2 linked regions of the Mus musculus genome follow. The main gene of each other region encodes a partner of the protein of the gene in region 2 in a complex. Links are inferred from orthologs where the notes say so. Each region holds a gene or a part of one and is shown on either strand. Other genes may lie near its edges.

Region 1 (4,482 bases), on a different chromosome or scaffold from region 2:
AAAAGCTCCATTATACAATATGGCCAAAACATGAAGGACCAATACTGTCCAACTTTACCATGATATCCGGCTTGATTTTAATTTTCAGACACCCTCATTAAAAAAAAAAAAAAATTCCACCTTTTCCAGTACACTGCCTGTGCAGTCTACATTTCCCAAATTCCCTAAGTTTAATTCCTTGAGGATCGCTAAATTAATCCTTAAGGCTACAGAGAAACCAGAAGCTGCTTCACAATTCGGAATGACATTAACATTTGGTTCAAAAAGTTACTATAGTGGTCTCCATCTAGTTACAGGTCCTAGCCAGATCATCTTAAGATCCGGATACAACCAGCACAATGCTTACCCTTAAAGTTAATTTACATTCATTGTCATCTGTAGGTTCTTCCCGTCCAGCCTACTTCCCCTTTGTCATCCACATCTAAGCCATTCATTCAGCACATTTCCTTCCTTACAGGAGATAGATATACTACCGAACCAACAGGATATCTGCAGGAGTAAACCCTACAATCAAGCAAAACTAAATACCTTTTTAAAATAAAACATCTTTTCCAGTGTCTTAATGGAGATGTAGATCACTCATCTATTTAAAAAATGTCATTATCTTCGGTCTAGTCAGCTGCTGTAACGTGAAAACAGGAATGTGTATTTTCTTTCCAGCTACGTTAAAGGGGCATATAATTTGACTTTTTAAATGTTTTATTAGTGAGCAAATGTTTAGTAATTTTAAAACTACTGGTCTTAAGACATTTGAAACAAGGTAACATTCCAGTTTTGTCCAAAAGTCACTTTAAAATATCTACAAATATTTCATCTGTGTGAGGCATACACCATTATTGCTCCATTTTCTGGAAAGAGTATTTTTAAAGGTAAGAAGAGGGAAACAGCGAAGTTGCTAACTTTGCAGTGGAAGAGACCTGTAGGCTTTACAGGCTGCGCTGCTTGTTCTAGGCGGCAGTTAGCTAGGGTGAAGGGAGCTCGAGCTGTACTCCTCCTCATGCACGTTAATGGCTGACACTGCCAGGGGCTCCTGACATTACCTGTCTGACACACTCATGTGCAACTGGAACATTACACTGCTATTACTCATTATCTTGCCACTGTGGGCTTAGTTCACCATACTGGTCTTGGCTATAAAAGGTCACATTTGAAACTGCTAAAGTTAGCGCTAAGGAGGAAGGGGGGGGAGGCCTTAAATATAAAAGACAAACGGCAGTTTGATTAAGCAATAATTTTCAGTTTACTAGATGAAACAGACTTGGAACATAGTCTGCATGAATGCAAAATAAGCCATCTACAGCAAGTGATAAGAACCTGGGCAAAAAGGAAAAAAAGCATACATGGGGGGGAAGATTCTCTCGAAATAAAAAAATCAAACCATTATTATAAAGGACTTTACCAAGAGTTGCTATTACCCCACCCCGTTTGCTGGAAGTCACAAGGCATCTAGCACTGTATTCGTGTCAAATGTCAGATCAGAGCATCCTAACGCAAAGCCAAGAGGGAAAAAAAAAAAAAAAAGGAAACAAAGAAAACCCCCAACCCCACTAAACTGTAGAACAGTAACTCCAGAGTTCAGATTCAAAAAGAGAGTGGCAATTCAAAGAGGTGATGGAGGTGGCGATAATCCTAGGAATGGGTTTTGGATTTCTCTCCTTCCGGGGGCTGGGTGGAGGACGCTCATTAGGATTTGTAGTTAGAGGTTAACCATGTGAGCCCCTCATAGAGTCCGTCCCCGGAGGTGGCACAGGAGGGCTGCACATACCAGTTCCTGTCCCGAATCCGGGTCAGGCCCAGTTTCTCCTGGATCTCATGGGGTTTCATGGCATCGGGCAGGTCCTGCTTGTTGGCGAAGATGAGGATGATGGCGTCCCTCATCTCCCGGTCATTGATAATGCGGTGCAGCTCCTGGCGGGCCTCGTCGATGCGGTCGCGGTCGGCGCAGTCTACCACGAAGATCAGACCCTGGGTCCCGGTGTAGTAATGCCGCCAGAGCGGCCGGATCTTGTCCTGGCCGCCCACATCCCACACGTTGAACTTGACGTTTTTGTAAGTCACCGTCTCCACGTTGAAGCCCACCGTGGGGATGGTGGTCACCGATTGGCCCAGCTTCAACTTGTACAGGATCGTTGTCTTGCCGGCTGCGTCCAGGCCCAGCATGAGGATCCGCATTTCCTTGTTCCCGAAGATCTTGGATAGCACCTTCCCCATCGCGTCGGAAGAGCCGGGGCCGGGGGCATTCAGGTGTCCCGGGTCCCCTCAAGCCTACAACGCCGCCGCGAGCCCGAAACGTCGCCGCCCCGCTGCGAGGACGCCCTGCGGCCTGCGCGAAGCTGCCGGCTAGGGGAGCAGGGGCCCGGCCTGCGCTCACTCGGGCATCGCCCGCCGCCGGGGCCCTGCGTCTGCGCCGGGAGAGCCGCCGCCCTGCTCAAGCGAGGCGAGGCGAGGCGCGGCCGGCCCGGAACTGCCCTTCCCCCCCGCAGGCGCCGCGCGAACGAGCGAGCGAGCAAGCGCCGCCGACAGCTCCTCCGCCGCCTCGGCACGCGCCGGCTCCAACTGCGGCCGGCCTGCCGGCCTGCGAGCACCGGACTCGGCACCGACCCCGGTCACCACCCCGACGACGAGCGCGGCTCGGCGCCCGGTCAGGTCATGGATCCTCGCGGGAACTCGCGGGTGCTCGCCTGCAGGGACACAGAGAGGGAGAAGGGAGTTACCGCCGGGCCTCCGAGGGGGCGCCCAGACCGACGCGGCCCGCCTTTCGGGCTCGGCCCTTGAGGTTACCTCCAGCCGCCGCCCCGAGCGCGGGTTCCCTCCGGCCTCCACCTCCTCCTCCTAGCTCTGCTGCCGCCGCCGCCGCTGCCGGAAAAGGCGCCGAGGAAACCGCCTCACTTCCCCTCCCAACTGCGCACGCGCGCCTCGGCCCGACCGTTCGGAAGAGCGCGACCTCTGAAAGGAGAGTGGCCCGCGCTCTCGACGTCACGAGCGCCACGCGCCGGGGGGCGGGGCTACGGCGGCTCCCGGGGCTCAACGCCGGCGCCTCGCGGAACCTGCTGGCGTGGGGCTGGCCGTGTGCCCACCTGTCGCTCTACCCGGGGTCTCCGCGGGTCTCCTTCTCCGCCACTCGAAGGCGGGGCACGGATCCACCGAGGGCGGGCTTCGTCGGCCCTTAGGACCGGCGCCCCAGCCACGCTTCCCAGGCTCGCTCCCGGACCCCCTGCGCGAAGCCCCTCCCGCTCTCCCCAGCCTTCCTTCAGTTTCCTGGAAGACACGTGGGAGGCCAGTGTTCCATAGAATCCGCCAAAGTAGCCCGCACTTTTTGTACTCGAGTTGGGTCTGCCCCTAAGCCCTGCCTTTGAAAGTTTAAACTCGTTCTTTATAAGTCTGGTCTGAACCGCCCGCATTTCTTAAGAAACAGACTATCAGGGCCGACGAGATGACTGTGGGTAAAGCCTGCCACCGAGAGGGCGGACCCGCCTTCGTTCCCCAGGAAGGAGAGAACCAACTCCCTTGAATTGACTTCTGCTCTCCACGTACTATAAGGAAACTCTTTGGGTTTTGTTCTTATTTTCAAATACTTTTTTTCATTTAGTGTGCGTACGCACGGAGAGAGGTCAGAGGACAACCAAAGTCAGTTCTCCCCTTTCTTCATGTGGGTCCCAGGTATCAAGTCAAGCTTGGCGCCCGACGCTTTTACCTACTAAGCCATCTTGCTGGACCAGGAAACCTTTTTGTATTAAACGGATAGTGTTAAGGTTAAAGTAAGGTGAAATTTTTAATAAAAATAAACACGGGGAGAAAACTTAAGTTCAAGGAAGTTGCTACAACAGCATATGATAATATACTGTTTTTATTTTATAATTAAAAAAAAAAAAAAAGGAAGTCATCTGGTACAGCTCACACCTGTACCAGAAGTGATGAGACTGAGGCAGAGAGGGTCGCTGTAATTCTAGGTCAGTCTAGGCTAGAGAGTGTGCCACTCTATTTAACAAGTACTGGCCTCACAGTCGCTCAGGGTTATCTGAAATTATTCTCCAGCCTCCACCTCCCAGGACAGGGGTGACCCAATGGAGCAACAGGTATTTGAAACCACAGCAGGCTTTTTACTTGACTGAAGATTCGAACTCTGGAACTTACTGCTTACAAAGCAAGTGCTTTTTAATGCACCAAGCCATCTTCCCAGCCCCAATAATAAATGATTAAAGAATAATTATAGTACAAAACAAATAGCAATAGTCAGAAACTAGTCGCCAATAGTAAGAATTAAACTCTCTATGCCATGCTTTAAAAAAAATAGGTCAGTTTGGGGCTGGTTGATACTGCTCAGTGATTAAAGCACTTGTCACCCACCCTGACTTGGAGGACACCAAGCAAAATGTAATTTAAAGACATTCAAGGTGGTGTATGCCTTTAACCCCCGCACTGGAGAGACAGAGATTGATGAATATCTCTGAGATTGAGGCCAACCTGGTGTACATATTGAGC
Region 2 (4,260 bases):
CTCTGGCAATTTCTGCAAGCAAGAGATTACAGCACCTCATAGGTTCCTTAACACCTTCACCATTCCCAGGCCTTCTTAAGTTCCCACAAAGATACCCAAAATTTACTTTATGCTCTAGAGATGAACAATTACCATGCTTTCAAATTACTTTGTAAATACCCTCCCTGGAGCACTTCTGCTATAAGCACATGCTCTTAATCTCTGGGTTAAAGGCACTGAGCATTCAGGGAGAGAATTAAACAGGATCCACTCTGTACACTGGCCTGGAAGACTGAACTCCTAGGTATAGGCAAAACCGCTTAGCATCTTCCATGAGTAGTGCTGCTGCTGCTGCTGCTGCTGCTGCTGTTGCTGCTGCTGCTGGGGTTTTATGTTTGTGGTTAGGGCAGGGTTCGTCTAGCATCTCATCAGTGCTGTTAATTCTCAGGTCAGGAGTCTACCCAAACATTTCATTATGGAGATGTGACAGATTTAACTAAGAAGTATAAATGTTAAAGAAACCTAGTGAACAGACTGTTTTTAAAGTCATTTACTTAAATAAATATAAGCCGGACAGAGGTGGTGCATGCCTTTGATCCCAGCATTAGGTAGGCAGTGACAGGGGGATCTCTGTGAGTCCCAGGCCAGCCTGGTCTACAGAGCAAGCTCCAGGATAGCCAGCCAGGGCCACACACTGAAACCCTGTCTTGAAAAACCAAAATAAATGAACAAATAAAGAAAAATAAAGAAAACAAAGCCTAGCAGTTTTATTTTCTGATTCTGTAACCTGTAACAGCTGGTTTTCTTGGACTGTGTAACCTCGGCACTTCATCCTGTCCGCAGGCTAAGGCTGGAGGGAACATTTCCTTTTTTTTTTTAACCAGAGGTAATAGGTTACATTGAACTTGCTCCTAATCTGTGTATATTTGGCCCCACTCTCTTCCAACTGCATCCACATCATGACAAAAGTCTGTATCAGTGGCAAGTGGCACCCAAGTGGCACGCCACCTTAAAGGCCTTGATCTGTTTTATAAACCAAGAAACTAACGGGGCTGTGGCCTTGTCTTCTTTTCAACCCTCCCTCCGTGTTTATTTGTAAACATACTCTTGAAATAAAGTCAATTTTGTTTGGCAAATTCAATGCCTTTCTTTAAGATAGGTGGACTGCAAAATCTCAATTACAAAGCGCCACTATAATCATGACTTTAAAAAAAAAAAAAAAGAATCATTTACCTGAATGCAGAGGCACAAATAACAAAATAAACTGCCTATTTAATGCTAGGAACTGAGCTGCCAAACAAATGTCACATTCTTCTACCGCGTCATGTAGTTTTGAAAAACAACACGTGGTTCCTTCGATAATTAGTCTCCTTCAATCACCATGTATTTAGCTAGGTACAGTAGATGTCTGGCACAAAAACAAGGAGAGCATTTTGACTGCCGAAGAAAGGTTCTTCAGAAACAATGCCAGGGCGCTCAGCCTGCAGGCTAAAATCCTGAACTCGCTCAAAAAGCTAGAGGATCATTTACAGCCCAGGATCCAAAAAGGCTCACACACTCAGGTGACGAGTACAAAGGTCACCGCTCAGGTGTTCGAGCAAAGAGCCAGCCAAGTGCACTTAGAAACTGCAGGATGCAAAGCAAACGCAGACAGGACAAGTGTTGTAACACTCACCCACACCTTCTCAACCCCGCCCCCCAGTCTTTATAAATAGAGGAGGCTGTCAGGGAACTGTCCAAGGTTACCACCTGACACGAAGGAGGAACATTCCTCTGTGAGGAACATTAATAAAGTAAATGAATGTACTGTATGTACTTACTGGACTCTGCTAGTCGACTTCTAAGTGGTTGACTAAGTGTTAAAATTAAATGGAAAAAAAAAAAAAGGGTACATAGGTAGACTTCCTTCTCAAGAGGATCTAAATGTCAAGAAGAAACTGACCGAAAGAGGGAGATCTCTAACTTCCCAAAGCAGCAGCAGCCCCCCCTGGAAAGGTACCGAAGCCAGCGGAACTGACACGGGCAGGACAGCACTGCCCCTCCCCATGCTAAAAGTTTGAACCCGCACCCGACTATCCTACGGTGGTCGGAAACTTCCCTAAACAAGAAGCAACCAGACACCCTCAAGTCTCCGCCCTCGGGCAGTCCCAGGTGCCCTCAGATGCCAGAGTGTCGCTTCCTCCCCCGGCCTTCCTCCCACTTCACCCCTCTCCTGGACACTCGCTGGCCTGCCTAGGCTTCCAGCACCGGCCAGTGTCCCGGGGTCCCGAGACGCTGCGGAGCACTGTCCCGGGCCCTGGATTCGGGCCTGCCCTTCAGGAGTCCACCCTGGCGCGTTGGTGCGCCTGGCGCGCCCAGCGTCCCCAGCCCGGCTGCGACCCCCGCCCCCGCCGGCCCTCACCTCCTCGGCGTGCTTGCGCAGCGCCTTCTCCCGCTCGTACTGGGTGATGAGCTGCTCGTTGTCGTCCCGCAGCAGCTCCAGCTCCACCTGGTGCTCCTGGTCCTGCGCGAACACCGAGTCCAGGTTCTCCAGCACGGCCACCACCAGTGGCATCAGCTCCTTGACCACCTCCTCATCGTAGCGCCCGATGAGCCGCTCGAACTCGCGGTAGATGGAGCCGGCCAGGCCGGACACCCGCTCTGACATCACGGCCCCGGAGCCTCCGGGCTCCTCCTGGTATACCACACCGTCCTCCAGCTCCATGGTGGCGGGCGGGCGGGCGGCCCCGGGCGTCGCCGGCTGAGGGGTGGCACGGGCCCGCACGGGACGGGCCCGGCGGAGGCTGGGGCTGGGGCTGGGCCCCGCGGGGTGGGGGCCGGAGCCCTGGCCAAGGAGGGGAGGGGTGGGGTGAGCGCACTCGCCCCAACCGCCGCTGCACCAACTGCCGGGGCGGCCCGGCCGCGCGCGCTACGCGTCACCCGTGGGGCGGGGCCAGCGCCGCGTCGCCCCGGTGGGCGGGGCCCCGCGGGAGGCCAGGCGCGGACGAGGGGCGGGGCCTGGCGGCGGCGTGCGCCGGCTGTGACGCCAACACCCGGCGCCGCGCGCGCGCGGACCGAGAGGTGAGAGGTGGAGGAAGTGACAGCCGGAGGCTGCGTTGGCTGGGCGTTCCCAGAGGAAAGGGAGGGGCTCTGAAGACTGACAACTTTCCCCAGGAGGCTGCAAGCGTTTTCTTCGCCTTTTTACGGCTCATCCCGCGCCTTCTTGGTGCGCCAGACGTGTGGACCCTGCTTAACAGACAAAGAAACTAGGGCCAGGGAAGTTGCGGGTTAGTCAAGGTCATACCGCTAGAACAGGAAAGAGGCAGAGGCGAGACTCTCTCTACTTCCTACTGAGAATTCTGGACTCAAAGGAAAACAGTGGATGAGGGAAAAAGCTGTAACTAGAATGACTGCCTAGAGGATCAGGTTGCCTCGAGTACGATAGTACACTTTGATGTTAAGGAAGAGTAAGGATAGCCTTAACCAGAAGAGCGAAGCGTCTGGAGAAGGGAAAATGAGTACCACTTTTTGCATTTTGCCAAACACTGGGTCCCTCTGCTCCCTGCCTATGAGAAAGACAGTTCTAGGCTGCAGCCACTACCACCGGTCCCTCTCTGATCTTGAGAGGGAGGTGGGGCTGGGAAGTGAGAGAAGAAGCAGAGGAGGCTATGGGGTGGAGTCAGTGGTGGAATAAGTCCCATGATACATGAAGTCACCTATCTTGGGAGTGCGTCACTCGTGGGGAATGCCACAACACCCTAGCCTTGGGCAGGCTGAGTCAGAGATTACTTCCGTGTATTCTCATCTTCCAGTCTCAAGTTTGGCGGAAGACACTCGCAAAAGCCTCTTCCCTTTGCCATAGCTGACTCAGATACACCGACTCCGACTCATCTAAATATATGGGAAGAACAGAGAGGATTTAAATAGACAAGTTATTAGGGAGAAGACTGGCTACCTCCCGGAGTCCTAAATACCCTGTTTGGTGTTTAGAAGTTTCAGATCATCCCCAAAGTCTCCCACACTTCCATCTCCCTGGAAACCACCAAAAGCTCTGTGGAGGTTGACCCAGTGCAAAAGGACAAAGATGAAAACTGTCAAAACAATTTCCCGAACCCCTGCGCCACTACCCTTAGTTTGTGCTCTCCCTGTCTCCCTTCCTCACCCTTACTTTGTGTATATGTCTGGATTCTAGGAATGCTGCCCAGCTAGTTGAGTATGAGCTCAAAATGCCCTATCGATTTTTAAAAAGAACTTTATTGTTTTGTTTTGTGAACTAATGTTTTGCCTGTGTGCATGTCTGGG

Evidence for each region.
Region 1: the proteins of Spag9 (region 2) and Arf6 are in contact, whole or in part, in a crystal structure (PDB 2W83), measured with the Homo sapiens proteins. The link is inferred for Mus musculus from reciprocal best matches to the Homo sapiens genes SPAG9 and ARF6. Residues at the interface, in NP_001124000.1 of Homo sapiens: Lys431, Asn432, Ile435, Val438, Asp439, Thr442, Cys443, Asp446, Val447, Gln449; in NP_001654.1 of Homo sapiens: Glu13, Arg15, Lys34, Phe47, Val49, Glu50, Thr51, Thr53, Lys58, Asn60, Trp62, His76, Tyr77, Thr79.

The regions. Positions count from the first base shown.
Region 1 is NC_000078.6:69,370,523-69,375,004, reverse strand, and holds the start of Arf6 (ADP-ribosylation factor 6), read right to left. Parts: upstream 2,856-4,482; 5' UTR 2,782-2,855; intron 2,682-2,781; 5' UTR 2,212-2,681; coding exon 1,684-2,211; 3' UTR 1-1,683. UniProt on the Homo sapiens protein: GTP-binding protein involved in protein trafficking that regulates endocytic recycling and cytoskeleton remodeling. GTP-bound form plays an important role in the transport of multiple palmitoylated proteins form the Golgi to the plasma membrane.
Region 2 is NC_000077.6:93,994,694-93,998,953, reverse strand, and holds the start of Spag9 (C-Jun-amino-terminal kinase-interacting protein 4), read right to left. Parts: upstream 2,864-4,260; 5' UTR 2,684-2,863; coding exon 2,381-2,683; intron 1-2,380. UniProt on the Homo sapiens protein: The JNK-interacting protein (JIP) group of scaffold proteins selectively mediates JNK signaling by aggregating specific components of the MAPK cascade to form a functional JNK signaling module.